Tamandua tetradactyla: one gene and its partners. The protein of the gene in region 4 purifies or fractionates together with the protein of the main gene of each other region. This does not show direct contact. Links are inferred from orthologs where the notes say so. Each region holds a gene or a part of one and is shown on either strand. Other genes may lie near its edges. The genes, in order: EXOSC3, EXOSC1, EXOSC2 and EXOSC10.

Evidence for each region.
Region 1: the proteins of EXOSC10 (region 4) and EXOSC3 purify together in Homo sapiens (affinity purification with mass spectrometry; 8 studies listed by BioGRID and IntAct, counting the BioPlex papers as one, with this or other methods). This does not show direct contact. The link is inferred for Tamandua tetradactyla from reciprocal best matches to the Homo sapiens genes EXOSC10 and EXOSC3.
Region 2: the proteins of EXOSC10 (region 4) and EXOSC1 purify together in Homo sapiens (co-immunoprecipitation; 8 studies listed by BioGRID and IntAct, counting the BioPlex papers as one, with this or other methods). This does not show direct contact. The link is inferred for Tamandua tetradactyla from reciprocal best matches to the Homo sapiens genes EXOSC10 and EXOSC1.
Region 3: the proteins of EXOSC10 (region 4) and EXOSC2 fractionate together in Homo sapiens (co-fractionation; 9 studies listed by BioGRID and IntAct, with this or other methods). This does not show direct contact. The link is inferred for Tamandua tetradactyla from reciprocal best matches to the Homo sapiens genes EXOSC10 and EXOSC2.

Annotation. Positions count from the first base shown.
Region 1 is NC_135328.1:57,303,562-57,310,753, reverse strand, and holds the start of EXOSC3 (exosome complex component RRP40), read right to left. Parts: upstream 3,004-7,192; 5' UTR 2,728-3,003; coding exon 2,395-2,727; exon of another isoform or gene 2,167-2,394; intron 1,999-2,166; coding exon 1,849-1,998; intron 32-1,848; coding exon 1-31. UniProt on the Homo sapiens protein: Non-catalytic component of the RNA exosome complex which has 3'->5' exoribonuclease activity and participates in a multitude of cellular RNA processing and degradation events.
Region 2 is NC_135339.1:58,766,495-58,773,723, reverse strand, and holds the start of EXOSC1 (exosome complex component CSL4), read left to right. Parts: upstream 1-4,220; 5' UTR 4,221-4,338; coding exon 4,339-4,417; exon of another isoform or gene 4,418-4,522; coding exon 4,523-4,638; exon of another isoform or gene 4,639-5,481; intron 5,482-6,297; coding exon 6,298-6,372; intron 6,373-7,229. Other genes in the region: palmitoyltransferase ZDHHC16, read right to left, coding at 36-230, 425-667. UniProt on the Homo sapiens protein: Non-catalytic component of the RNA exosome complex which has 3'->5' exoribonuclease activity and participates in a multitude of cellular RNA processing and degradation events.
Region 3 is NC_135328.1:53,593,836-53,600,772, forward strand, and holds the start of EXOSC2 (exosome complex component RRP4), read left to right. Parts: upstream 1-3,933; 5' UTR 3,934-3,983; coding exon 3,984-4,105; intron 4,106-5,437; coding exon 5,438-5,539; intron 5,540-6,937. UniProt on the Homo sapiens protein: Non-catalytic component of the RNA exosome complex which has 3'->5' exoribonuclease activity and participates in a multitude of cellular RNA processing and degradation events.
Region 4 is NC_135328.1:214,318,000-214,325,866, forward strand, and holds the start of EXOSC10 (exosome complex component 10), read left to right. Parts: upstream 1-4,857; 5' UTR 4,858-4,905; coding exon 4,906-5,016; intron 5,017-6,134; coding exon 6,135-6,271; intron 6,272-6,977; coding exon 6,978-7,101; intron 7,102-7,867. Other genes in the region: serine/threonine-protein kinase mTOR, read left to right, coding at 373-388. UniProt on the Homo sapiens protein: Catalytic component of the RNA exosome complex which has 3'->5' exoribonuclease activity and participates in a multitude of cellular RNA processing and degradation events.

The DNA of each region.
Region 1 (7,192 bases), about 160 Mb from region 4:
CCACAAATTGGCCATAGATGAGATCTCCAACCTACAATGATAAATAATAACAGTTCACTTCATCATAGCAAACCATTTACTAGATACTGCTGTTAGTTCTTTCCTAGAAGCAGCAATGCCAACCACTTCTAGTCTGTGTCTAAGAAACTGACTACACTCCAGGATCCAGTGCTCTGGAGTTGATGAAGACAGAATTAGCATGTGTACTTCTTCCTTTACCCCTCAGGAAATTCCCAGACTGGAAGCCATCTCAAGGCCAGAGAACACTCTAAGGTTTCATGTCCAATATGATAGCCACTAGCTAACTGTGGCTAATTAAGCCTATTTAAATTAAAATTAAATAAAATTTAAAATTCAGTTCCTTGGCTGCATTAGCCACATTATAATGCTCAATAGCCACATGTGGCTAATGGCTACCGTATTTGTCATCATAGACAGAGAACATGAGCATCATCACAAAGTTTTATTAGCTAGCCCTGCTCTAGGAGATTCTGGAAAATTTATGACTAGAGAAAGGAACTCCTAGCATGCAAATTATTTAAGCAAAATAGCAGGAGCAATTCACTGGTACTTCTTCAGGCAAGGTTTATTTAAAACTTTAACTGAACTTCAAAATGATGAAACTAAAGAAATGACAAGTGAGCTTATTTTGTTCTCTCAATAAAACACTTAAGTACCTGCTATATGGTGGTGACTATGGAGCCAGGGATGAACAAAACATTCTTTTCCCTTCAGAAGCATATGGTCTTAGAGGGCAGTGAGATGTATACATAAACCACAAACTTCATTCAAGGCTGAATCCATTAAGTACAAGAGCAGTTAGAAGAAAAATGACTGACGATTAGGGATAGCTTCATAGAGGTGGTGGTGTTTGGCCTGGGATTCAAAGGATAAGCCTGTGTTCTTAGGTTGAGAAGGAGATAGAACAATCCAGACAGAACAGCATGATCAAAGGTGCAAGGGCGGTTAATTACTTAACGAGTTTAGTGGTACTGTTAAATAATTTGGTGTGGCTCAAACTGTATGGAGGATATAATTATGGATGAGGCAAGATCCTTAGAGTGTCATCCCAAGAAATTCTGTAAGCCTTGAAGAACTATTTATGTTTTGAGAAAGGGAGTGTGTGAGAAAGACAGCTCTGAAAAGCTTGGATGGACAGACAAAAATGCGGAGGCAGGTATGTTAATGAGGAGGTCATGGACCAAGTCTAGTCAAAAGTTAGCTAAGGCCTGAACTTGCAAACTGGAGATAAAGGGGTAGAATGTGGAAGATGAGACAGAATAAAAAAAGATTACGCAACTGAAAACATGACAGGTGAGTAAAAAGGGACAAAGAAACCACCAAATTTCTGGCTTGGATAGAAAAGGGAAAATGTGGCTATACTGCCTGAAAAGCCCAAAGTGAAAAGTTGAGTTAACAAGACTGCTTCTGTGTCAGCTCCAGGAGATTGCTGGGAAACAGTGAGATGCCAGTCCCAGGCCCTACATAACGGGGATGGATGGATATGAAAATTTATACCACTTGTCCCTCCTCCCTCCCTGAGCCTATGGCTGACTTCCTTGTCAGTGCCCATAATAACGAAGATAACAGATACAGCCATTCAACTCAGCAGAGATGGAACAATCCTCCAATGAATGTAGCAAACATATAAACGTATGTGACTTTGGTCCAGGAGCTGAAGCATGTAAAGGAACTCTGTGAGCCTGGGGTGATTACACAGATGTTTCCCCTACAGAGTAGGGAAAATAGGTCATACTTTGAAGACAATTCTGGTAGCATTCTGGATATTTCACATTCTAAGGAATGGATATTTTCTTATTTTTTGAAACCAAAGGCCCCCATCATTACCTGCACATTTGGTCTATTTCTTTTGGTTGCACCTTCAAATGCCAAATAAGACAAAGAAGCTGGTTCACTCCCTCCAACATCAACTTTGAATATATCTCCAGATTTAGCTGTCACTATCCCAATCACATGGTCTCCTTTCACTGGGACATACTACAAAAGAAAACAACAGGAGAACAGCCATAAATGACAATCATTTCCAAGACATCCTGAAAATTCTCTACATCACGACCTTAGTGGTTACTTTAATATATTTGTTATTCAAGAGATGTTTAGAAAATATTTTTGAAATTCAAATTATTTACACAAAATTTACAAAAAATTGATAATATTCAGTAAAAGAGAAACAATCACATCTTAAATCCTCAGGTTTGCAGCTTGTGACAGTCTGTAGATTCGAGCCAGCATCCACTCCCGGAATCCCCTAGGTTCTAACCTGACTCTAGACTGCTCTCAACAGAGGCGCCTCCCCAGGGCTCCCTCCCTGTTCGTTCTAAGGCAGGGACACCACTCTCGCGGCCGCACCGTCCCTCCGGAGCCCCACCTCACCCGCTTCTGTTGCGAGTCCACCCAATAAACGCCGCCGCCGCCGCCGCCGCTGCCACCGCTCGACTCCTTGTGACGAAGACGGCCGCACTTGGTAACCATTAGGCGGTCGCCACAGCGTCGCAAACCCGGGCCGCACACCACGCGCACCCGCGAACGAGCCCCAGAATTCAGGCGCAGCGGTCTCTCCCCTGCACCGCCAGGGCCTTCTGCTTCCTCTTGCTCCGGAAGAAGCAGCTCTTCACCCGGGAGCACCAGCTGATCTAGCACTGTAAGCGCCACCCGCGCCCTGGAGAGTGTAGGGGATTCAGCCGTTATCGCCGTCGCCTCAGCCATCGCGGGCAAACTTTCACTTCCGGCTGCGCGTCCAATATCCAGCCCCCCAGGGCTTTCCGTTTCCGGCGGTGTGGTGTGGGCGTTGGAGTCGGGTCTAAATCTGAGACGCCTAACCGCTGTGAGCCCGCCGTTCCCCAAAAGCGGCTGTGATTTTGTCTCTAGTTGGCCGCCTATGTTGCAGTCTGTCCGCGGGTGCGTATGAAAACTCAGTCTGAATCTTACGAAGCCGTCACTTCCCTGTGCATACGCGTTTTGTGGCCGGTCGCACCGTGGGATACAAGATGCTCCCACGTATGGGCCGTAGGAACCCTGGGAACTGAGCAGAGAGCTTCGGGAGTTGGTCTTTTGGGTGAGTTCATAGTCCTTCCTGCCCCTCACCGTACCACCCCCGCTCCCAGAATGGTGGCTGACTTTTTACCAGGAAGTCTTTTCTTTGTCAAAATAAAGCCTTTTTGATTGTTGCTAGAGAAAAGAATAAAAATGGAAAATAAGCATAATGATCTCGCCCATGCTTGTCTCACTTGCTAGGCTCTCTTTGAATCCTTGTAACCTTGATTCCTTTTCGTCTGGCACGAAATAGATAATAGCTGATGAATGAATGTTAGCATTTTAGTGTATATTTCTCCCTAACTTTTTTTTCCCTGTAAATATACAGGTTATATACACATCTTCACAGTTGAGCTACCCCTGCATGACCTGAGGAAATCAGTGGCTATATTTAAATCCCTGTGGTTACTTTCCCTTGAGTCATTTTTTGTTGCTCTTGAGAGAAGCAGCTAAATTGTAAATCCATAGTACTTCGGGGCTCCTGATCTTATGACTTCTAGGGATCTTGCTTGAAATCGCCATTTTCTCTGTCAACTGGCGCGTTCTATTGGTTTTTAGTCAGATTCCTCAGCAGTGGCGAGAGCCCCTGAGGATTAAGAGGGCGTAGCCCTGACCGATGGCTTTTAGCTGCCCTTCATTTCTGATGTTCAGATGTGTGAGGTATTCGCTTCTCAGAGCGAATGGTAGATTTTTAGGATGTTTAAGACATCACCTGTAACATCCTCCAAACCTGGCGAGATGCTGGCGAGCCACTTTCCTTGGATGTAATAAGAGGCCGACTGAAATGTAATTTTGTTTTGAATCATATTGTTGTAAGAACTGTCCTTGGTTGTTTCCCTGACAGATGTGAGAGGTCCCGGGGTAAGGATCGTGTAGATTCGGCTTCTCTCCGTCCCTCTCCAGTCCAGCAGCAGAGGTCCTGGAAGCAGTAGGTGTTCAGTGATCAAGCTGACCCAAGGCCACGCACGGAGGGTGCTCAATGACATTAGGCCCAGATGAGGCACAAAGGGACCCAGGAAATATTCCTCAAACTGTTTTTCATGCACCCTATGTTGGTAGTGGGATGCCTGGAAGAAATTCGGTACAAAGCTGGCTGAGGAGCCCAATCAAATGCAGTGGCCTGGGGGAATGCCATTTGGCAATTCAAAGGAAACAAATGAAGTAGTTGAGGCCCCGAGGAACACAGTCCGGTGGAGGCAGCAAATCCAGGGCCTGGAGGGGTCGGGTCAACCACGCGTCCAGGGCGTCGCCCACCCACTGCCGGCCCGGACGGGGCGGGGCCCATGAGGCTGGGCGCCAGCTACGCCTCACACCGCCTGGTGGGTTCTTCGTTGCTTCGCCGTCCTGCGGCCGCCGGCGAGTGAGAGCGCACGGCGTCCCTTCAGGGACCAGGGCAGGGGCTTAGCCTCGCGCAGGTGGGAAACGGAAGCTGCGAAATGTACGGCGCCCAGCTCTAAACCACCGCCGCAAACTCGGCGGCTCGCGGATCTTAACATGGGGTAGCAATTACGAAGCTCGTGTTTCGAAGCTTGGTTTCCTGGTTGTAGCCTCGGAGACTGGGTGAAGGCAGAGCAGGCCTCAGTCCTCGCGCAGTCGGCCCGCGTGCTTCGGGGCGTCGAGGCCAGACTGCGCCCGCGGCGGCGCGCCTGAGTTTCCTGGCGGGACCCCCCCACCCGGTGTATCAGGCCCCCTTCTCGGTTGGGGAACCCGGGTTTGTAGCCAGTGCGGAAGAGGCGGTGCTGCCACGTGTGCCTCCTGGCGCACACCTCGCCATTTTTGAGTATTTCTCTCGGGGATATTGCCCTTCGGAAAGGTTGGAGCTGACTGCGGCCTTCTGGACTCTCCCTGAACGACTCTAGAAACCTGTTACTTTGGAAGATTGAAAAGCTGCATCTTAAGGTAGCTTTTCTTTGTTGACCGGTAAGGTTTTTTTTTTCGTTTCAGTTAGCATCTGCTCTGGACCAGCTGGGGAATCAATTGAATCATGGTTCCTATTCTAGGAAAGGTCATTGTTGACACATGATAATACCGGAGTGTTTTGTTGACTTGTATAAGTACTGACTAGGGTGTCAACCGCGACAGTGCATACCTGGCACTCGAGTGAGCTTTTGAAATGTTTTACTGGTTTCTGAAAATTACAAATGAAATACACGCTGAAATTAATAGTAAAATATCCATGGGAGTATTACTGTATTTTTTCAATTCCAGGATTTAATCCAAAAGCATAAATGCTCCCAGTTAACACAGCACAAATGACAAGTCTCCTTGTGACATGTTTTTAATCACAATGAACCATAACTTCTTAAACATAGCACTTATTTGGAGAAAGTAAAACATAAGACCACCTGTTTTTTTTTTCCTTACCACATTTTGTGTTAACAGTTCTACAAAATACATATGGCCTGGTGTCCCCTACCCCCAATCTGAATTACATGCTGCTATAAGCTACATTCTTTCTTATTTGGAATGGCATTTAAGTTTTGTCTTGGCATATCATAATATAACACCAATTACAAATACTTAAAACTACGTGATTTTCTGGTTTTCAACAGCTTTGCCATTTATCTGCATTTCTAAAATAAGGAAACATCTTTCTGGCTCATATTTTTATTTTGTAATGTGTGTGTCATGTCGTGCTTTGTTAGTCATTTTATATTCCTTTTGACAAATTAAAACAATTTTGAAAAAAATTTTTCAAAATGAAACATTGAGGAAGTGGATAAAATTAGTCTCTTTGCAACCTCATTTCTCTCTACTTCCCTAGAAATAACTGCAGTTAACAGTAAGTATTGTGGGTTTGAAAGGATTATGTGCCCTAGTCAAGCCCTAGTTTTAATCCTGATGCATCTTCTAAAGCAACCATTTCTTTTAATTCCTAATTCAGCAGTATAGGTTGGAAAATGGATTAAATTATCTCCACAGAGGTGTGGTTCGCCAAGTTATGAGTATTAACCTTGATTGGATGGAGATGTGACTCCACCCATCCCAGGTGGGTTTTGATTAGTTTACTGGAGTCCTTTAAAAGAGGAAAGCATTTTGGTAAACACTTGAGAGCCACAGGAGCCATGAGAAACACAGGAGCCCATGCAGCTAGAGACCTTTGGAGATGAAGAAGGGAAACGCTCTTAGGGGAGCTTCATGAAACAAGACACCTGGAGAGAAAGCTAGCACATGTTGCCATATTCACCATATGCCTTTCCAGCTGAGAGAAAGAGAAACCCTGAACTCTGTCGGCCTTTCTTGAGTGAAGATAACCTCTTGATGGTACCTTAATTTGGACATTTTTACAGACTGGCACAGTCTTAGAATTGAAACTTGTAACTTAATAAATTCCATCTTTTAAAAACTGTTCTGTTTCCAGTATATCGCATTCCATAGCTACTAAACTAGAACAGTTGTGTATCCATACATTGACTTAACTTCTCTGTGCCTCAATTTCCTCAGTGATATAATAGTGATAATACCACTTACCTCTAAGAAGAGTGAGGAAGGGGAGGGGAAAGAGCAAGGAGGACAGAATAACAAAAGCATGAGGCCTTTTATAAATTTTGGTAGGACATCTGGACTGTATCTCATAAGCATTTGGAAGCAACACATTTTGCTATGTAAGAAAACCTCAATTCCAAAACCACATCAGAGAAAATTCTGTCAGAATCAGCCTAAGAGATGGGTCTTCCCGTTCCTCCTTTCTCAATCTTTTCCAACACCTTGACCACTGTTCTTGGGCCTTTTCACAGCCTTCTAACTGGTCACCCTCTTCACTTCTCATCCTTTGTTCCTTTCTCCCTTAGCTGCTGCTCATCTTAGATTCTACCTCTGACCATGTCATTCTCTTTACTTTGAAACTCCCATGCCTTGCCCCTCTGCCTTCAGAAGCAAGTCCAAATTCTGCGTGGGAATTATCAGGAAATAAGATAAACCTCATAGGAGAGCAAGAAGTAACTAGAATCCAAAGAGATGATCAAGGAAGCAAGCAGTTTCACCTACCACAACTCCTTAGGTACCAAAAGTAGATGAGAGGTCTACTTAAGTAGACACACACTAAGTGGATCACATTAAGACATTTATTACTCTTAGCACAGCAAACAGTAGGAGCATCAGCATGTAGCACTTAAGTCCCATGGAGTGAATACAGTAG
Region 2 (7,229 bases), on a different chromosome or scaffold from region 4:
AGTCCCCCTCCCCCCATGCCCTTATGGGAACTGACCTGGGGTGGGTATCCAGGTGGAGTGGTGATGGCCTGGTAGTAATGGAAGACAATCAGCACCAGATTCCAGTGACTATAGAAGAAATGCCAGCAGAGTCGTGGCACTGAGTAGGTTTGGAGAATGAGGGGAAGGACACATAGGTAGGCGATGGCCACAATGGAACTGGTCAATATGATCACCAGCACCACGAACACCTGCCAATACCAAGGAAGTCTGAAGATGTGGGTCAGGTAGAACCAGTAAAGGAGCCTTGCCAACACCCAGCAGAGACTCAGGAATATCCTGAAGGGTAGGGAGCTGGCTTCCAAAACCTAGTGGAGGTCCATCAGAGACATATCCCTTTCCTATCCCAAAACATCCCTTTTCCTGCTCCCTGGGCATCACTCACCACCCCAAACCAGCGGATCACGTTGTCCACCAGCCAGTAGATGGGCTCAAAGGCAGCATCGATAGCAGTGTCGCTGCCCCCAAAGGAGTTGTAGAGCAGGGAGCGCAGGCAGACCTTGCCATAGCGCCAGCGCTGCACCAGACCCCGCAACAGAGGTGGGCAGCGGCGCCTATAGCCCAGGAGCAGAAGCAGGCGCAAGCAGAGACGGGCTGGGCCTAGCAGCAGGCTCCTCTGGCTCCGCATGACTTCTAGGAAAACACACTATTGTGAGTATCAAGTCTGGTTCCTCTCCTTCCCTATCCTTGCCAGTGGGGAATCCAGAGTACCAGTTTAAGAGGGCAAAGACCTAATATCGAGCCCAGCTAGGCCAGTGACCAGGTGAATGTACAATGCCAATGTCCCCAACAGATTACATGAAATAGGAACTGGAGGTTATGAGTCTAGAAATTCCATTTACATTCCACCACTTGGGTGCACAGAAATCCAAGGTAATGAACATCTAGGGTAAAGGACCACAGCAAAGGGGTGAAGGACAGGTAGGCAGCTCCAAGGTAAAGCAGGATCCTTGGAATGATCTATGTAGACAGACCAGTGGGTGGAGTGTGTACAAAAATATCCATGTGTTTCTGTGGGCCTGGCCATTATAACAGGCAGCCCAGGGTCTAACAGGCTAACCTGACTCATCAACCTACCTGCTAAAGGTTGTTCTTCACCAAGGAACAGCAAGCTCCTCTAAGTCGGGGAGTGAGCACATGGCAAAGGGATCCTACACCTAGATCTTCCCTGATGCCGTGGGTCCTGACAAAGGTACTCCTTCCCATTCCCTCAGGCCAGCCAACTCAGCCTAACAGCATGAGATTCTCTGTCTGCCTGTCACTTCAGCTCAGCCATCCCTTGCATGATATAAGATGCCTTGTCTTCAATTCTAGTCCCAGAACCACTACAAGGATACAGAAGGGAAGACAACTTCAGGTATTTAGGGCAGAATAGCACTAGAGGCAGGAAACACTGGTACTTAGAAGGGGCCCCCATGTTGGCAGCTCAGGACAATCACAGAGCCTGCCCTCTGAGTGATAAGTCTCCTCTGCCTTGTTCAAGTTGGACACAAAAGCCTTCTCTATAGCTGCTGCCCTTGGCTTCAAACTTGTCCCCAGCCTTCCCAGCTCTTTAGCACTTTCCACAGCTGCTCTACAAGTGCTTTCCATCTCCTTTACGTTGTTTCTAACTCATTCAACAGCAATGGAAAAAGGGTTGGCTGCCCAGCCGATCCCCAGAATAGAACACAGTGCTCTGGCAGGTTCTTAAAATGACAGTCTCATCAATTCTGCAGATTAGAAGTTCTTTACCAGAAAAGAAACTTTCTCCTAGGGTGGCCTTGGAAGGCTGCTTTGTTTGTCCTTAGCAACTGCACTGACTTATTTAACAGGCAGCTAAAAACCCAGCAGAAATTGGAGGAGGCTGCTCCACTCTAGGGATGGTTTCAATTCAGTAACTGGAGCACTATATTTTCCTTGAACCCTGGCTCATCCCCACAAAAGGTCCTTCAAAGAGAACATTTCATTACCTCTATCCACAAGCCCTGCAACTACCTAAGGCAAAAAACAAAAACAAACAAAAAAACCTCAACAAACTAGGCCTACGGAGCAAGTGAAGAAAGACATTTGAATAGGGACCCACACTGCACCAGGATAAAGAAACTGGCCATTCCCATTACCTCCTAGGAAGCTAAGAGTATTAAGGCATGTGGGATGGCATATAGAAAAGAGAAAAAGGAAAAGCTCAACTTTCCTACCTTCATTCAGTTGAACTACCATTGTTTGGAACCATGATTTCGCTTAAAGAATGAATTTTCAAAATAACAGCCACAATCAAATACAACAGTGAGAGTAAACAGACTACCCCACAACAATTTCTGGTGACTTTTGGATTGTCCACACCATTGTTTATTCCCTAACTATGGCTAATGGAGAGTTTTCTATTTGCTAAAATACTTTTTATAGCAGTAGCTTGCAAATCAGATTCATTCTTTACCGGGTTCACCTCTGCCCCTAAGCATCACTTGTGACCTTGGGCAAATCACTGATCCTTGCTGGGACTCAATGTCCTTCTGTTCGCACACAACGAGAAAGTAGGACTAAATGCTAAAGTCCCTTCCATATCTAACCTAGTCTGGATATATATATGGTAAGGTATAAATGAAATGAAAGTGGTTAGCACAATACCTATCTCATGGAAGTGCTCAATAAATACTTGGTGAATGAATGAATGACCTAGAACACCTGGTTATGGGATACAGAAGTAGAAAGGCTGATCACATGCCTATCTGACCTACAAATACCAGCAAAGACACTCCTACCAACGTGACAACATTGAGTGTCTGCCACTATCATTCTTTCTGATCAAAGACAGAAACAGAAACCGTTATTAGAATCATAGTACTTAAGACCTAGAAGGCATTTTTAAAAATAAGTCCAACTGAAATAAACTCAAATATGTAAATAGAAAGTTTGTAGATGCATAGCTACAGATCAGGTTTGGGTAAATAAGGTCTGAAGCTAGCCCCCTACCCCCTTACTTTAGCTAGTAGGATATAGAGGGGATGGGGATGACATGGAAGAGAGATGCAGTTCATGGGACATAACTGAACATACGGCATTTTCATCTCAGGAAATTGAGGTAAGGGGGCACTCAAAAGCTGGGGTAAGGGGTGGTGATCTCCGAGTGAATGTGGGAAAAGAAAGAGAACACTGTCGTTTCACTATCACCTCCAAGCACAAAGCCCTGAACACTCTGATCCCTCGGTAGTAGCCACAGGCTATAGTGGGATTTGCCATCCGATTAGAGGGGACTGCAGGCCACTCATCACTCCGGGTTTCTTTTTCTAAGGCTCTAAGTCACCATTTACGTGGGGGAGAGGGGTAGGGGTGGGAGATAAGAAGAAACAGATTGCAACACCACAAGGAGGCAAAGGAAACTGAGATGAAAGTCGTGGCAAACCTCTTCTGGACAAATACTGCTCTCATGAGGACTGCGATCTCAAGCAGCACATAGTGAGCATCAGTAAAACAGCATTTTATTCATGTACAAGATTTCCTTTACGGGCTAACACGATGCAAAGAGGGAAAAGTAGCAACTTTATCATGGGGATGCTCATCAAAAGCTAAGGACGGACTCAAATGACTACAGCTCCTCTTGAGGGAATCCTACTGCAGGATCTGAAGCTGCAGTTTCACAAACAGGGAAAAGGTTTTACTTCTCAAAGAGGGCTCGTGGTCAAAGCCCGATGAACTGGAAGTAAATCAAAACAAAGCAAAACAAAAACGTGGGTTCCAGTTTGAACTCTACCTTGAACTATCTTCGAGACTGCACAAATCAAATCCTTTTCCGGATTAGTTTCCAAATCCGTGAAATGGGTGCGTTGGATTGGTCAAGGACCTGGTCCTGTTCCGCCCGGAATGGCCTGCACACAGAGCGTGGCGAAAGAGCACGAACCCGGGCTTACGTAGATGGAGAACTATCCCGGGATAGGGCCCGACCCTAGAAAAAGGACTGAAGTAGGGAGCAAGGACTGCGGCTTTGCTCTTACCTGCCAGCTGCCCAATCAGCGAAATCGAGTCCTGCAGCTTTCGCCACCACTTACTACCACACCCTCCAGCTCGGCACCCCGGCCGAGCCCGGCTCAGCACGACCCACCATGGCCCGCCACGCGCAGAGCCAGCCAGAGGACCCAGACCCACCGCCAGCCCATCCTGAACCACAAGCGCAAGCGCAAAATCCCGGGAGTTTCGGCCCTACTTGTCCCGGGGCAGGCTGGGAAATGGAGTTAACCCTCGAGGAGTCGCTTCCAGAGAGCGCCCGATGAAGCTCTCCAATTGACGCGCTTGTTACTGCGGCACTGCACCTCGGCCAGTCCAATGAGGAGTTGGCCTCATTTTCATCCGGGCTTTCGGAAGGGGTTAGTCATGGCGCCGCCCGTGAGGTACTGCGTCCCTGGTAAGCGAGCAGTGCCCGCAAAGTCCTGAATGGGGACAGAGGCAAGGATGCTGGACGGCCAGCACATTTGGGGGCCCCGAAATTGATGCAGTGTTTTATCTGCAGGCGAACGGCTGTGCAATTTGGAGGAAGGAAGCCCGGGCAGCGGCACCTACACCCGTCACGGCTACATTTTCTCCTCCCTTGCCGGCTGCATGACGAAGAGCAGCGAAAACGGCGCGGTAAAGGCTCCGCTTCCCATCTCTTCTGTCTCCTTCTTTTCCTTGGGCTTCTCTTGATTTTCATGCGCTTAGGCAGGGGCGCTGCGAACACCTGTTTAGTGCCTGGCCAGTAAAACGTTTGAGAGTTAGTCTCTGATTTTCTTCCATCTGTAATCCCCGCTGCTTCATTTCCCTCCACTCTTCACCTCGCCGCAATCCAGACACACCAGCTTCTTTCATTGTCGCTAATGCGCTGTACTCTTAACTTGCCACAGAGCCTTCTTACATTCGCATCTGTCTGGAACACTCTCCTCTACCTCTTGGTCTACTTAATATCTGCTTATCCTTCAGATAGCATCACTTTCTCATAAAAACCCTCCCGATCCAATAGTTGAGGAAAGGCGTTTTTGGTGTTTGTTTTTTGTTTGTGTTGCTAAACATTCTCAGAGAACTTTACTTCCAAGCATTCATCTCAGCGATTAATTAAACACTCACTTATGTGTTTCCCATTAGACTCTTAAGTTCCATGAAAGCAGGCCTCATTGTTGTACACTCAGCACCTAGCACACGATAGACGCTCATTAAATATTTATTGAGTGAGTAATACTGTCCTCCCTAGTTCCAGAGACTGATCCAGGATTAGCAGTCTTTGAAGGAACAACTTAAAGGCAGGTGCCACGGTAGAAAGAATTCAGAATTAGAACACTTAACTAGACTTTGATTCCGCCTTGAGTAAGAAACTTAAACTCACTGGCTTTAGGTTCTTTCTTATCTGTAAAATGAGAAATTTTTTATTCATTTTCAATTGGGAGGCTGTTCTTAACGTTCCTAAGTTCATTCTGTAGATGTCTGTTGAACGTTTTCATATTCCAGGTGCTGTGCTGACCTCTGATGATGTAATAATGAACTAAATACACATGGTCTCTGCTGGCAAGGGGTAGAGAAACAAATCATAAAGAACTAAATGCACAAATGAACATTACGTGGCACCGTGAGAACATGTAACAGGAAAGCCACCCTAGTCAGCAGAAGCGACATTTAAGCTGAAGAATAAGGGTTGGGTAGGTGGGGAGAGTGCATTCCTGGCAGAAGGAGCAGGTTAAATAGAGATCCTGAGATGGGAGGAAATTCAGTGAGTTGGGAAAATTAAAAGAAGGTCAGGAGAGCTGAAGCATAGTTGGCAAAGAAGAGAATGATTAAAGATGAGGCTCAAAAATATCTATCTTACAGCAACAGCCAATACCAGGCTCAAAGAAAAAATTCTATAAGTAATTTCTTAACATAGAAGAAAACAAGTATGGCTACTATTAGAAAACATTGTTTTGGAAATTTAGCCTTGTGCAATAAACTACATTAAGACTTGGTATAACTTTGGAAAAACGAGGCAAGTTATCAGCAATTGTAGGCAATATGGTTGTAGAACTAAATTTCAAGAATATCACCAAAACATATTAAAACTTCTCTGAAATAGTTAAATTATGTCTTCTGGCATTATTCTTCCCATGGCCTCTTGGTCCTCCTGTTATTTCTCAGATACTCTGCTATGGGCTAAAAAAAAATCCATAGTTCATTTGCCCTTTTAACCTCTCTGGACCAAGGCATTTCTTTATTACTTTAAGCCATGAATACTTTTATCCAAGGCTTAGTCGGTATACCGTTTTTTAATTGCTCTTTTTGTAGCTTCCTGTGGTGTCTGTGGTGAGAGAGACAGAGTCTCAATTACTGCCAGATGTGGGGGCTGTTGTAACCTGTAAGGTAAGTTGGTCTTTATCTCCTTGTTTATGATACCTGTCCAGTGCTGAAATCATGATCATTCTAGATCTGTGCTGACTGATATGGTAGCCATTAGCTATATATGGGTATTTAAGTTTAAATAAATTAAAATTAAATAAAATTTAAAATTTTGTTCCTCAGTTGCACAAGCCACATGAACTAGTGGCTGCTATATTGGTCAGTACGGAACATTTCTGTCATCACAGAATGTTTTATTGAATTTTTTGCTATCTACAGGGTTCTAGGATAATGACCAAGATAGCCAGTTTCAAGCATTTGTAGTTATTTCATTGTGCCAGTTCCCTGAGCATGTAGTACCTGTGTCGGGGAAACAGGAGTGCCATAGGTATAGGGAGGCCTATTTTTGAACATCTGAAAGTGAGACCTTTTTCTGCAGAGAAACAAAGGGCTAGTCTATTTTCTAGCATGTCTGTAAATTTAAAGTCTTTTAGGGTATTTCAGAAGTACAAATTAATGCTGTACATGTAATATTCTATGCCCATCCCCATACTCTGCCAGGGAAAATTAACTTGTACCTTTTAGTTCTTCTCTTTATCAGTTGCTCCAGCAGCAAATTTAAATGTTGCTCTGAAAATAACTGGAGAAACAGTGATTAAAATATCATGCAGTGGGTGCATGGTTGGTTCAGTGGTAGAATGCTCACCTTTCATGTGGGAGACCTGGGTTCAAATCCTGTACCATGTACCCAAAATATATATGTATATATATCACACAGCTTACCTAATTTAACTTGTATGGTCAGTTTATTTGAACACCATAACTACATGGACTCTTGAATAGGGCATGAGATCTTGTTGGTTTGTACAGGTTAATGGAAT
Region 3 (6,937 bases), about 160 Mb from region 4:
GTAATTAACTGATAATCTTGCAGAAGCTGGTCCCTCTGGATTTCAGGATTTATCTGATTTAGGAACCTTCCAGGAATTATAGGTTCCAGGAAAGCAAACTTCGCACATGAAACCTTTATAGAGTATCAATTTGAGCCCTGGGTGTTCTTAAGAGTCAATAGGAGTGATGGTGGTTGGGGTTTAGCAAACCATGGCAATTAGCAATAGATCCAAATTCTTGACTGAAGAGATGTCTACAAACTCATGGGCATGTTTAACAACCTCCATAAACAATATGGCTGTTTCTATTGTTTTTAGGAGAAGCAATACTGCAGTGAGCCTTTTTGTGCAGAAATCTTTGTGCATATATCTGATTAGAACATTTGTCCTGTTACTGTTATCATTTTAATGGAACACGAGGAGGAAGCCAGTGGGTGGATAAGGATTGTGGCAAGAGCTCTTGCAACAGTCTCCGCTGCCTCTATTTTCACGTTTCCCCATTCGTTTCCTTCACTTGAAGTTCACATGTCTTCTCACCCAGCTTGTCAGGCTCAGCAGTTCCCTCATGTCAAGGCTCACTCACTCTGTCAGGAAGGCTTTTCTGTTCCTTCGCTCCCACCCTCATCTCTGAACTCCTGAGCATGTGGAGAGCTGGGGCAGCAATGATACATCTCTGTAAACCCCACCGTGCCGGGTGCCATGCTTGCTGCACAGTGGGTGCTTGGCAGGTGTTTGCTGAATAAGTTCATTTGTTCATTCAACAAATATTTATTGAGGGTCTTCTTTGTGTCAAGTATATAGTTCTTGGGGCTGAGGATACAGCGATGAACAAAGCAGACAAAGTCTGGGCATTTGTGGAGCTCACATCCTGTTTGTGTGTCGGGGGCGGTGCACAGATGATAAGCAAACAAACAGGGAAATGTATATTTTGTAAATGTATCATTTTTATCAACAAATATTTTATGGGTGCCTTCTGTTTGCCTGACATGGTTCCAAGTGTTCATATAAGTTGTCCAAAACAGATAAAGTCTTGTTCTTAGAGCACGTGTGCTCTAGGGGAGGCCCTCACAGCAAACAACCAAAGAAATAAACAGGAAAACTCAACGACCAAGAAATAAAACAGCTCAAATGATTAAAAAAGAAAGGACCAGAGGGCTATTCCAGATAAAGTGGTCAGGGAAGGCTTCTTTGAGGGGGTGCTGTTTGAGCTGAGATCTGATTGAGGAGAAGGAGCCAACCACACAAAGACCTGGGAGAAGAGGAGAATTCTGTGCAGAGAGTTAAAAATGTACTGATACTGGGGTGTGTGGAATAGAGAGGAGGCCCAGTGCAGCCAGCTTCATCGTAGCCAGTAAAGGGAGTGGATTAGATGGCGAGTGAGATCCAAGCCAGGCAGGAGCCAGGTCCTACAGAGCCTCAGTGCTCCCCAGTGATGAATCTGAATTTTATTTTTAGTCTACAAGGAAGCTGCCAGAAGTGTTTCAGCCTGGAAATGATTTAATCAGATCTCTGTTTTAAAAAGATCACTCTGGCTACTGTATGGAGAACGGACCATAGGGGAGGTGAGGCCAGGTAAATATAGAATTAGGGAGGCAACTGAGGGGGTTATTACAGTCACTCAAGTGAGAGGTAATATCGATTAGTCTGGGGCTGTGGCCGTGAAGCTGCACAGATGGGGAGGTAGATGGACATTGGGGGAAATTGGCGAATGTTAAATCTGATCAACTATAAATCACTCAGGGAGTTAAAATACACCCTCACAAGGGGTACACGGATAGTTCAGTGTCAGAATGCCCACCTTTCATGCGGGAGAACCGGGTTCGATTCCTAGACCATGCACCCCAAAATACAAACAAACAAAAAATCTTTGCAAAAAAACCACCCTCACAGACTTGTGGACCCTACCCTTGAAGAGCCTCGATGCCTGAATCTGGGTCCAGGAATCTGTATCTTTATCACATCCCTCAGGGGTGTGCAACAAAGTTTCTGGGTACTCATCTCTCTACATGGTAGGAAAGAAGCAAGTATAAAACACCTAGCAAAGGACCAGGCCATTGGGAAGTGTTTGATAAATGCAAGCTCTACCTCAGTGGCCTGCCACCATTTGCTGTGCGAATTCTAGTCATTTCAGTTTCCTCACCAATAAAAAAGGTATCCATAATTCCAATGTTGTGACAAGCTTGACCAACTGCAAATACTGTGAGAATGGGAGGGGTTTAGGGTATGTCCTTCCTTCCTGGAATGAAACAGGATGATGTAAGTACTTTAACTCACTCCTTGGTTGCCAGCATTGTGGAGGGATGGGAGGGCTTGTCTCCTCACTGCCTGGGCTGTGCTGGCTCACAGGGCACCACTGCCACCATATGGCCATGGTGAGACTCAACAGATGGGTCATTTTTATTTTTATTAACACTTTTTATTTATTTATTTATATCAGAATTTATTCAGGTATAATCTAATTACTTTTATTTTTTATTTTTTTAAATTTTTATTGATAAAACAACGTACAAGCACATGAATTCTTAATGTACAAACATTTCATACATGGTGTACAATCAGTGGCTCACAATATCATCACATAGTTGTATATTCATCACCATGATCATTTTTAGAACATTTGCATCACTCCAGAAAAAGAAATAAAAAGAAAAAAGAAAACTCATACACATCATACCCCTTACCCTTCCATCTCATTGACCACTAGTATTTCCATCTACCCATTTTATTTTTTAATTTTGACATTTGTTCCCCCTATTATATATTTTTAATGCATATATTTTACTTATACCAGATGGGTTATTTTTGCACTCTCTTCCTCTCTAGTGCCTTCCTCAAGGCAGAGAGAAGGGTGAGGGTCAGGTCTGCCTACTTGCCAGATGACCAGTGGATCACTCAAATTTGTATCAGGTTGCCTCACAGGCCTGGCTTTCTTTACAAGTGTAGTTCTGAGCATTGCTTGGGTGAAAGAAGTGCTATCCTTTCAGCGATTTATAAAACAATTGGTCTGACTGATCTTTAGGAGGCAGCCGGCCTGATTTACTGAGCACAACTGTGTATGTATGAAAAATTGTCATCTCCAGTTCCCTAAGGATGAGACTGTTTGCTGTAAATGCTATAAACCATCCAGGGCAAGTCAGGGACAGGGAAGTGAAACCCAGGAGAAGACACCAGGGAGAGGCTCCTACAGGACCTGGAGGTAAAGCCACAAACACCTCGGTTCTCACTCAATCCTTAGAACAGTTGGGCACACAGTGCTCGATTTGCTGTATGAAAAAATGCAAGTGATTTTCTTTTTGTACTGTGTGTGCATTTGTTCTCCTTGCCAGATATGCCTGCCTTGCAAAGTTTTCTTGGATAGCTTTTTTCTTTTTCAAAATCATCTCCTCTCACTCAAAATAAATTATTATGAAAGGACAGAACCAGCATGGACCTGGAGCTCTGTTTCCGGATATAGAAGACGGTCGGTATTGAACCAGCATGCATCCGGCGGTGGTGATGCAGAATACTGGAGTTAGTAGGAAAGGTGTGAAAAGGGGCTCTTCTTTCTATGTAAAGAAATGTTTTCTGTTGATCCCACCTTCCCATCCTCCTGATTTCGCTCGCTTGTACACTCTCCCTCTCTTTCACTCGCACACTGAGACACATAAAGGCTTAGAGTTGAAAGGAAACTCAGAGGTCCATTTTTCCAAATACTTCCAATCCTCGTAAGCAATAAATAGGATGATGAGTATGAGACAGTTTTGGTAAAATGTCAGGCGTCACGCAAAGTGAGATTTTTATACTGTCATTTCACGGGGGGAAGCCTTGACAATATAACAAATACGACAACTTGGCTGCGGCTTTCCCCTAAAGTTAACCCAGCGGCTGCCAATAGCCAACATGGCCGCCCGCCCGCGGGATCCCATTGGTGGATGCCCCGAGGCCCCGCCCCGCGCTGTTCCTCCGCCCCTGGAGCTAGGGAACTGCGGCGCCGGATATCGCGGCTTCTGGTACTTGGCGCCAATATGGCGCTGGAAATGAGGCTTCCTGTTCCTCGTAAACCTCTTAGCGAGAATCTGGGCCGCGAGACTAAGAAACACCTGGTGGTGCCGGGGGACACGATCACTACGGACACGGGCTTCATGCGGTAAGTGGGGACGCGGGGGCCTTGGGCCCCAGCAAGCAGCTCCAGGGCTCTCTGCACGTGGCCTGATGGGCCGAAACCTGGGCCTCTGTCCGGTGCGTCTAAGTCTCCCGGAACCCAGGGCACAACTTCAGCGCATCCCATTCGCCAGTTTTCCAAGGCCTCTGGCTTGGGATCCCCTGCATCTTTTGTGTCCCCTTCGGCACCTGTCTCAGACTCCCGAAACCCTCCTCTCCTGACTTCTGGTACCCGTGACGCCCGTGTCCTCTGCCTGAGGCCAGGTCTCTGAGCTTTCTTCGTTGGAGTCCTGAAAAACCGAGGAGGGTTAGGAGCAGGGGCCTCTTTCCGGTTTTCAGCTGTTTGAGGGAACAGGGGGCTTTCCTGATTTGGCCTCTTTCTCACTTAGGTTCATCTCGGGGCCAGAGGTTCAGTTTTGGAGTCAGTAATTGTTTGGGCTTAGAGCAAACAAAATACACGAACTTTGAGTCTAAGGGCAGTTTAATGGGTTCTAGTTAAGGAGCAGATTCCCGAGGCAGTTCGGGTTCCAGTCCTCTCCCTATTCTTAGCGGAAAGATCAGTTTACTTTTCTGTAAAATAGTAACAACAGTAACTATCTGATGGGGTAGTGAGGATCCAATGATATAATGTAAAGAAAGGAGTCAGAAACCACCATTATCCCACCACTACCACAGATAATATAAACCTTTTAGTGATGCTTCAGCCATTTAAAAATTTGGTACACATGTGCTATTACATACGTGAGAACTACGGCTTTTACAGCATTGTCCTTTAACCTTTTAGTGTGATGTTTTAGGATCCTAGGAAATCTAAAGATTCATTCCTTCATTCATGCATTCAGCATATATTATGTGTGGTTTGTATACAACAGTGAACAAAATGAAAACCTCTGTCCTGGTGGAGTTTATATTCTAACAGGGAGAGTCAGATAATAAACAATAAGCAAAACAAAGAAATTGTGCAGAATGTTTGGTGATCATTTCAGGGGAAAAAATAAAAAGTTGAGCAGAGTAAGTGGAATGGGATTGGGAGTCTGGTGAGGGTGGTGGGATCAGGATGGTTTGCAATTTTAAATGGGACACATAAGGTAGGCCTGATGAGGAAAGTGACATTTGAGCAAACTTGAAGAAGATGAGGGAGATGTCCGTGTAGCTGTCTGGAGGAGGAATATTCCAGGTTCCCGGCTGGGAGAGCAGCCAGTGCAAAAGCCAGGCTTTAATGTGGGAGGAGCCTTTTTGGTTTGAAGAACACGTTTTTGAGGGGAGAGGTCGTCTCAGATGTTACCCTGGTATCCTATATATCTGTGTCTTGCCACAGGGGTCATGGAACTTATATGGGGGAAGAGAAGCTCATAGCATCTGTGGCTGGTTCTGTAGAGAGAGTTAACAAGTTGATCTGTGTGAAAGCTTTGAAAACCAGGTGAGAACAAAAGGTGTGTATTCTCTTTCTTACTGCATCCATGTTGCATGACCAGATTTCCCCCCTCTACCTGCCCCCATCTGTCCGATCATTCTGGGGGATCTGAAGCTTTCCACATGACTATAGGAATGGTGGTAAAGGTAAATGTGGGCTGCAAAGGTTTCCCCACATTACTTAACTTCTCCAAGCTTTGGTTACTTCCTCTGCAAGATGAGGAGAATAGTATCATCTACCTTGTACAAATTTCATCAGAATCTAGTGAAATGATGCACTTAGCCCTGTGCTAAGTGCCTAGAAGGGCTCGGTAAATGTTGGTCCTAGAAGGATGTCAGTGGGGTTAGAATAGAGTGAGCAGAGGGGGAGAGAAAGAACAGATACAGACACAGAGCTGAGGTGGGTGGATAATCTGGCCTGCCTTGAAGGCCTTTGTGAGCATTTTGGCTTCTACTTTGTGAAATCTGGGAAGCCACTGGAGAGAATGAAGCAGAAGAAGGACACAATCTGTGGTTGGTTTTTTTTTTAATTTTTTAACTGTTTTAGTAAAATCACTGACTGCTGTGGGAATCGGGGCAGACATAGGGAAATGGATTAGAGGACTGCTTTGCAGTCCAAAGTGCTGATACAGTGGAAGTAGGGGTATTTGATTCTGCATATATTTTGGAGGTAGAGCTGGCAGGATTTACTGCTGGGCTACTCATGCAATTTGAGAATTAGGGAATAATCAAGGCTGACTCTCCAAATTTTAGCCTGAGCACCTGGGGGATGGAGTTGCCATTTACTGAACTGGGGACAGCTGGGAGAGGTGCACGTTTCTGGGAGTGGAAGGGAGTGGCATGAAGCTTATTTTTGGGCTTGTTACATTGGGAGTGCCTATTCATAATCTAAATGGGGTTGTTGGGTAGGTAGCCGTTAAATAGTTTGGGCTTGTTACATTTGGGAGTGCCTATTCATAATCTAAATGGGGTTGTTGGTTAGGTAGCAGTTAAATAGAACCTGGAGTTCAGGGTAATGATACAGTTATCAATGGTGTCTAAAGCCATTAGATTGAGTGGACACACTGAGAGATGAGTGGTTAACTGAAAAGAGATGAGGTCCAAGTCTGAGCTTTCAGTACTGGAACACTTCATAGTTAGAATTAAAGCGATGAAGTACTTGCAAAGGGACCTGAGATGGAGCAGCCAGTAGCTTCCCTCCCAGGGGGAGACAGCGAGGAGACCTATTTGGGGGGCATTCTGTCTCAGAATCTCATTTCTCCTCTTTTGACTGGTACTAAACCCATCTTTGTTCCAGAGCCCACAGGAAAATTTTCTGTGTTTTTTATTGTCATGTAATCTAACAGAATAGGGATTTCAGGCTGAATGAACTATTTGCAGAAAGTGATTTAAGAATAATTAACAA
Region 4 (7,867 bases):
CTTTGGATTTTTGCTGTCAGTTCCGATACAGGAAGGGTAATGGAAAAGAAGCCAGAGCAGTGATAGAAGGAGACGAAAAGACAAATTTATGATCTGGGATTGTAACCTCAAGGACCACTCGGGGCTCCGCTTTGATTACTTGCCCGAGGCATGCTTGAAGAGAGGGTAAAGGGGACGTGTCCCCTGGGACCTCAGTAGGCATCAGCACTGGCCTGGAAGCGATGAGTATGCCTCACACAGTTAGTTGTGGGAAATCTCAGGGAGTGTCCTGAGGATTATCAGACCTTGATCTTTTTGTTTTCCTTGTATCTGTGTAAAGCTTTGAAGAAGCTCTTATGATTAAAATATTCCTTTTTCTGTCTGTCTTCCTAGGTGTCCTTTCTGGTAACTGGAGGCCCAGACACGCCCACAGTGTTTCTTGTGAGGCTTTTGTACTTTGGTATATGTATGCTTCCACTAAACTGAAACTATGGTCAAAAAGTTTGACTTTATTAAATATTTTGAAATGTAAATGAAAAAATAACTACTGTATATTAAGAGTTGGTTTGAACCAACTTTCTAGCTGCTGTTGAAGAATATATTGTCGGAAACACAAGGCTTGATTTCGTTCCCAGGATTGTAAAACAGTGTTGCCACATAAATCAAGCCATTGATTTTGGGGAACAGAAGATCCATAATTTTAGAAATACGGGTTTTGACTTAACTCACAAGAGAACTCATCATATGCATTTACTGGTAGAAAAATGGCCTACTCATTCCTCTCAACCCAATACAGCAGACTTAGTGCTGTCAGGAAGCTTTAGGTCATGGAGGAAACATAGGAGGATTCTGGACTATAACAAATCAAGAGGAGCAGACTTCATCACTTCCTCCCATCCCATGATTTCACTGGTCCGTGGACAACAACAACCACAACATCATCAACAGCATTTGCAAAATGGGCCAAAATGGGTGAAAAGGGTCTGTCTTCTGCTTGACCCAGTGACGCCGCAAATTACACACTTCAAACCAAGACCTGAGCTGCTAAGAGGGGACTTTATTGCTATTGCTAGACAGTTCTGCCAAGCAAACGCAGGGTGGGGATCATGGTGCAATGGGGTGACCCAAATCCGCCTTCCTTGGCCTGGATCTTGGATGTTTTCAGTGAGTTCTGTATACTCTGTTTAGAGCAAAGGCTTGAAAAACAGAAATACTGTCATGGAGGTGCTGAACACAGAGGGAAGGTCTAGTACAGGTTGGGAATTATGAACAAAATAAATATTAAACTAAATGCACAAAGTATAAAGTATAGCCATGTCTAGACACCATGTATCTGATACTTTTTGTGCCAATAAATTACATCAGAATTTTAAAACACACATATGGGTAGCTTTTTATTCCTAATAGAGAGTTCAAAAAAAAAAAAGCATTTATTCCTTCACATTCAGCATTCATTAAGCACTTAGTACAAGGATAACAAATGACATGGGTATACATGACGTGGTCCCTTTGCTCAGCATGTCTACAGGCCAGAGAAGGTGGAGACGGCCTAACAGGAAATAAATGGATAACTCCACTGCTAGCTAAGTGGTGAGAAGAGCCGTGAACAGAGTGTGAGCCACGGAGGGCTCACTCACTCCACCGGGTTAGCCAGGAAAGTCTCATGGATGGTCTGGAAGAATGAGTGAGAGCTTTCCTCAATAGAAAAGAAAGCGCAAGTCATCAAGCCATGAATGCACAATATTGTGCAGGAATGGCAAGTATTAGCTTAAACCATATGAATCTGCAGGTATTCAACCAGTTTTTATATACAAAAATGGCAATTTCATATGGTTGGTCCTCATAGTTCAGCAGGTGTGGCTTCAGGGGTCAGTGGAGAAAAACTCAATGACAAGGAGTTTGGGCTTGAAGCTGTCAACAACAGGGAACTAGCTGATTTTGTGTGTGTACTATATGGCAGGGATCACATTTCATTCTTTTTCCATGTGAATAGCCCATGATTGTAGCATTATTTGATGAATTTTTTGTTTGTTTTTTCTCTTTGTTGCTTTGGGAAGTACACGGGCCGGGAATCGAACCCAGGTCTCCTGCATGGCAAGCAAGAATTCTACCACTGAAATACCCTTGCACTCCACCCCCGTATAAATTTTTAAAACAGGAAGAGAATCCTAATAGTATTTTGAAAAAGGCAAGTAGTGACAAATGGATGTAAAGAAAATTAGAAGCCAGAAGGCCCAGTAAAGAGGGTGTTGCAATGCTGGGGAGGAGAGAACATTAAATGGATCAGGTAATTACTTATAGATTCCCTCTGAAGAGCATACCTAAAGAGAAGTTCTTCCAAGAAATTTATTTTTTAGTTGTTTGTATTAGTTAGGGTTCTCTAGAGAAACAGAACCAACAGGGAACACTTGCAAATATAAAATTTATGAAAGTGTCTCACGTGACCATAGGAACACAGAGTCCAAAATCCACAGGGCAGGCTGCGAAGCCGATGACCCCAATGGATGGCCTGGATGAACTCCACAGGAGAGGCTCACCAGCCAAAGCAGGAATGCAACCTGTCTCCTCTGAGTCCTCCTTAAAAGGCTTCCCATGATTGGATTTAGCATCACTAATTGCAGAAGACACTCCACTTTGGCTGATTACAAATGGAATCAGCTGTGGATGTAGCTGACGTGATCATGACCTAATCCTATGAAATGTCCTCATTGCAACAGACAGGCCAGCGCTTGCCCAATCAGATGAACAGGTACCACAACTTGGCCAAGTTGATACCTTTCCCTAACCATGACATTGTTTAAGTGAAATTTTTTCTCTAAATTTCTGTTGTCCACAACTACTCAGTGAGAAACACTGTTTTGTATAAAAATTGTTCAAGGAACTTGTATTATGGGGAGCCTGAGAATCACAAGGTCAGGAACCACATCATAGGTGTCATTGCACCCACAAAATCTGAGAGAAAACCTAGCCCTAGACAATTTGTTGGAGGACTTTTCTTTTAAAGACAAAGATACATTCAAATTTCAATAGTGATACTAATAACGTTTTCAATATTCACAGTGAGGAAGTCTCATTCTTTTTTGAAATTTTCTAGAAGAGTCCTAAACCAAGTCTGATTTGTTCTGACCTCCTCGGTTTGAGATGAAGTAACTAGCAATGACTACAGTGATGTTACCTTTTACGAAAATTAAAGGGTATGGGGATGGGTGAACTCAGGAAAATGGTGGCCATGAGTGGTAGAGACATACTCAGGGTTTGAGAGTCATTGGGATTAAGATCTTTGGTGAATCCAATGGGTTTTAAGTGATTTCTAAGCAAAACCTTCTGGTTTTGAAGTGAATTATCAGAGACAGGTGAAGAGCTACTGGAGGTCTTTAAAGACAGTCTAATTAACCCATCAATCCTGAATGGTTTTGTGTAACCCTGTGTGAAGAAAGGGGTGTGCAAAGAATGACTTTCCAGATCCTTCCGTTCCTAGGGTTAAAACTACTATCAATAGATTGAAATACTAGTGATCAATGAAAGGTAGTGGTAAGGGGTATAGAAAAAAATGGGAACAAAGGTTAAAATATATTGTGTAGATGGAAATACTAGAGGCCAATGAGAGGCGGGTAAAAGGTCTGGTATGTATGAGTTTTTTATTTTTTCTTTTTATTTCTTCTGGAGTGATGCAGATGTTCTAAGAAATCTTAGAAATGATCATGGTGATACACAAATACGTGATGATATTGTGAGTCATTGATTATACACCAAGAATGGAATATTCACAGGTTAAAAATGTTCATGTTTGTATGTTGTGTTGTTTTGTCAATAAAAATTAAAATAAAAACTACTATAAAGTAGTTTTCAAGAGTCAAGGCTGCAGCATCGAATTATTTAGTTTCAAATCTCAACTCCACTTCATACTGTGTGACTTTGAACCAGTGCTGTTTCCTCATCTGAAAACCTGGTTAATACTACCTCTACCTCTTAAGGTTTGGGTGAGGATGAGATAATCCATGTGGAGCATTTAGCACACAGCCTGAATGTTGTGTTATGAAATAAGTGTTCAAAAATATCAGTCATTAAAATGAACTAAGCATTTCTTCTTTCAGGGTGCTTGTGTACCTGAAGTACACAACTAGGAAAGAAAAAGTGAAAAACAAGTGTCCTATTGATAGGATATCCTGAATTACCATAATTGCTAACATTTATTGAACACTGACTGAGTCAAATGAGATCTATTAAGGGTACACCACCTCTGCTCTGTGCACATAGACGCAATTCACTCCACAGGGCTTCCGGGAATCCATTTTCCCCCATTCCCCAGCTACCTAGCAAAGCGGTGCCTGCCTCATAACAAGTCTTTGCTGAGTTGCATCGTATGCCTTAACAAGACAGGTTCCAGTGGGATGCACGAGAAGAATGTCTAATCGAAACGGTTCAAAAGCACGTTTGCAGGCTAGGAAGTACAGCGGTAGCGTAAAACTCTTTCCAGAAGTTTTCCTACAAAAAAGGTAAGAGAAATATGGCAGGGCCTGGAAGGTGGGGGCTCGGTGTCTTCCCTTTCTTAGTTGGGAGAGATTTCAGCTTAGGGCTGTGTTGTTAGGAATGAACCAGGAGCGAGGGGAGAGATGACGATGCCAGATGGCGGGGATAATGACTGTGGCCAAGATCTTAAGTGGAGAGGGGCATGGATCCAGGGCCTGGAAGGTGTTAGCTTTACACAGGAGATGACTGGGTCCGCCGATTCCCTCGCTAAACCAGAGGATCGTTAGGAGGATGCAATATGAAATTAAAGGAAATTTTTAAGTTCTCGGGGTGGGCGTTCAGGGTTATTCACCCAACTGAAACCCCTCTGGCCCTCTCCCCTCTGCACATGCGTCCGGCGTACACGTCGCGTTGGCGCGTGACACTCTCGCGAGAAGCGCCGTAAAGTCCGCAAACATGGCGCCTCCCAGTCCCCGAGATCCTAGGTCCCCGCCGGCGACAACCGCGACCAAGTCCGACGAGGAGATGGTGCTGCCCGGCTTCCCCGACTCCGACAGCTTCGTGAAGGTGAGTTCGTAAGTCCTCGGAGGCACCGGGAGCAGATCAAGGCCGGACGGAAGCAGGCCCAGGTCCTGTAGGCGGCAGGCAACGCGCGCGTCCCGCAGCGGAGCCTCCAGGGCGGGTCAAGGGGCCTCTCCCCTCGCTGGGCAGAGTCTCTTGGGTGTCTTCCTCCGGAGATGGGGCCCCGGACAAGGAAACGGAGGGACGCTCCATTTCCCAGAGCCCTCGTTCCCCGAGTTGAGGCCTTGCAGCCCTTACTGTGCAGAGCGTTCTCCACACCTTGGGGAAAACTCTCTCGTCACCCTGATGTCTCCAGCCCTCGGCGACCTCGCCCCCGCCCGTGCCTGAACCATCCGGCGAACTCTCCGAGGGAACTTGACTGCTTTACACCTCCCACGTCTGCCCGGCGGCCCCCCTTCCCACGACCGGCGGGATCTTTCTTCCCTCTTCTGACGTCCAGCCCTACGTAATCCCCAAAGCCCAGATACAGCTATCGTCGAGTGTCTTTCTTCTAATTATCAATATCTCAGAATAGATTGGAAACTCCTGGAAGGAACAGAGAGGGTCCATTTAAATTATTTGTGTAATGCAGCTTAAAGATGAGCAAAATAAAACTAGGTTTAAACACGTCATGCATGCCTCTTATGCAGCCATGAAACATAATTTGAAGTTAATATTACTTAACCCCCCCATTCCATTCATATTATCTAATGTACTAGTAGTAGATACTTTTATTAATTTTATTTGTTTGGCCTTGAGTAGCTCGCAGACCACTAACTGAGGTCTTGATCATGTGGAGTTCACACTCACAAGTCACCACATACCCCACGTTGACTCGTTTTCCACCTCCTGTCTCATTTTTTTTCATATTTTCCATTTGTTCTGTCTCTCCCCACTCTTCAAGATGTATGGTCCGAACCTTGGTTTTGTGTTCAGCCTTGTCTCCTCAAGGCCTAGTAGACTAAAGAGTAGAGTCAGTATTAAATGGAGATCTGTTGGAGAGATGAAGATTGGCTATCTTTAGCATCTAACATAAGGTACCATGTGTTGTAGATCTTCAAGACATGATTGCCAAGTGGATGGGGATCTGTGTTTAAAACGCCTTCTTTTCTGGTTTTTGACAGTTTGCTCTTGGGTCAGTGGTGGCAGTTACCAAGGCATCTGGGGGCCTACCACAGTTTGGTGATGAGTATGATTTTTACCGAAGTTTTCCTGGCTTCCAGGCATTTTGTGAAACACAGGGAGACAGATTGCTTCAGTGGTAAGTACCATACATTCTTTCCCCAAGTTAATAAAAGAAATGAAAATAAAGAGGTAGATTTTTCCTGAAATTTGTTTTTCCTTACCATAATCTTCCATGCTTATAAAGTGCTACAAAATGTGAAAAAATAGCCAAGAGGACTAGGAAATTGTTATTTGGTAAATTTTGAGTTTAATTTTTAAAAAATGTATTGACTTTTGCACTTATACATAACAGAGCTTAACTGAATTAATATGGGCCTTGAAAACTTAGATCCAGGTTTCTTAGTCCCATGACTTGCAGAGTCACACATATTAACTTTCTACCTAGTACATTAGGACAGTTAATGTACAAACGTTAATTTTGTTTACCCTTTGCATGACAAGAGTTGGAGAAACTGCTTTAGACTTGCCATGTTAAAAGAATGAAGTAAATGTAATGTACATTTATTTACATACTATCATACTTTTTTTGGAATTTAAAGAAATCAGAAATTTCTTCTGCCCCTTCGGTTAACAGATGAGGAAAGTAAGTCTTAGCTAAATTTAGGGAATTGCCCAAAGCCACACAACTGGCTGTTTCTTTGAAGACTGTCATAACGGTACAGATTTTATTAATTTGAAGAAAAGGCATTGGGAACAGCCTGAGCCAAGCCATTTGAGCTTTCTTCCAGATGGTGAACAAATAAATAAATGTACACACATTTACCTGGGTGTCCCTCCCTCAGCATGAGCAGAGTAATGCAGTACCATGGGTGCCGTAGCAGCATTAAGGATCGAAGCAAAGTGACTGAATTGGAGGATAAGTTTGATCTCCTAGTTGATGCTAATGACGTCATCCTGGAAAGAGTGGTGAGTATTCTCTTATTCTTATGATAACTAACAAACAAAGAGTTTTTGTCTGATTAAAAATAAAGAGCAATCCAAGTACCTTAGAAAATAAGGAAATAAATATACAATTTCTTACTGGTAATAACATTCCCTTCCTTTGACCAGTGGTTTCTTTTTATACAAAACTAAGTATGAATAACTTCAAATTATTACTGCCCCATAGAGGCCTCTTTTAAGGTGCTGATTAAAAATCCACCTTTGTATTACAAGAGAAGCAGCCTCTCTATCAACCCAATAAAAATTTAATCATTTTTACTTTGTTATTGAAAACCTTATCGTTACCTTGACTCTCAGGATTGGAAGAAGATATTAATCATTCAGACTAGCTTGCCATCTGTTTATGCCCAATTCTACAGCAGAATGTTATTTACAGAAATACACGGAGATTGTCTAAAATAAATCTAACCTTTAGCCATGGGATGATACTGGAGATGTTTAAATTATGCTCTCCTGTCCCATGAAATCTATCTTCTATATGAAATTATGCTCTCCTGTCCCATGAAAACTATCTTCTATAGTTTAAATGTCCACAGATCTTGCAGCTATTTTTTGTATTTTGTGATTTCAGGTTCTGTCACTGCTGATCCATCATCTGGTGCATTTTCATTTGTGGTGCCCAAACTCATAGTCCACATCTGCTTTGATAGCACAAAGTAGATCAAGACAACCATCATCCTCATTCTAAATACTTCTGTAATTAATATATGCTTTCTGGGGTGTTTTTAAT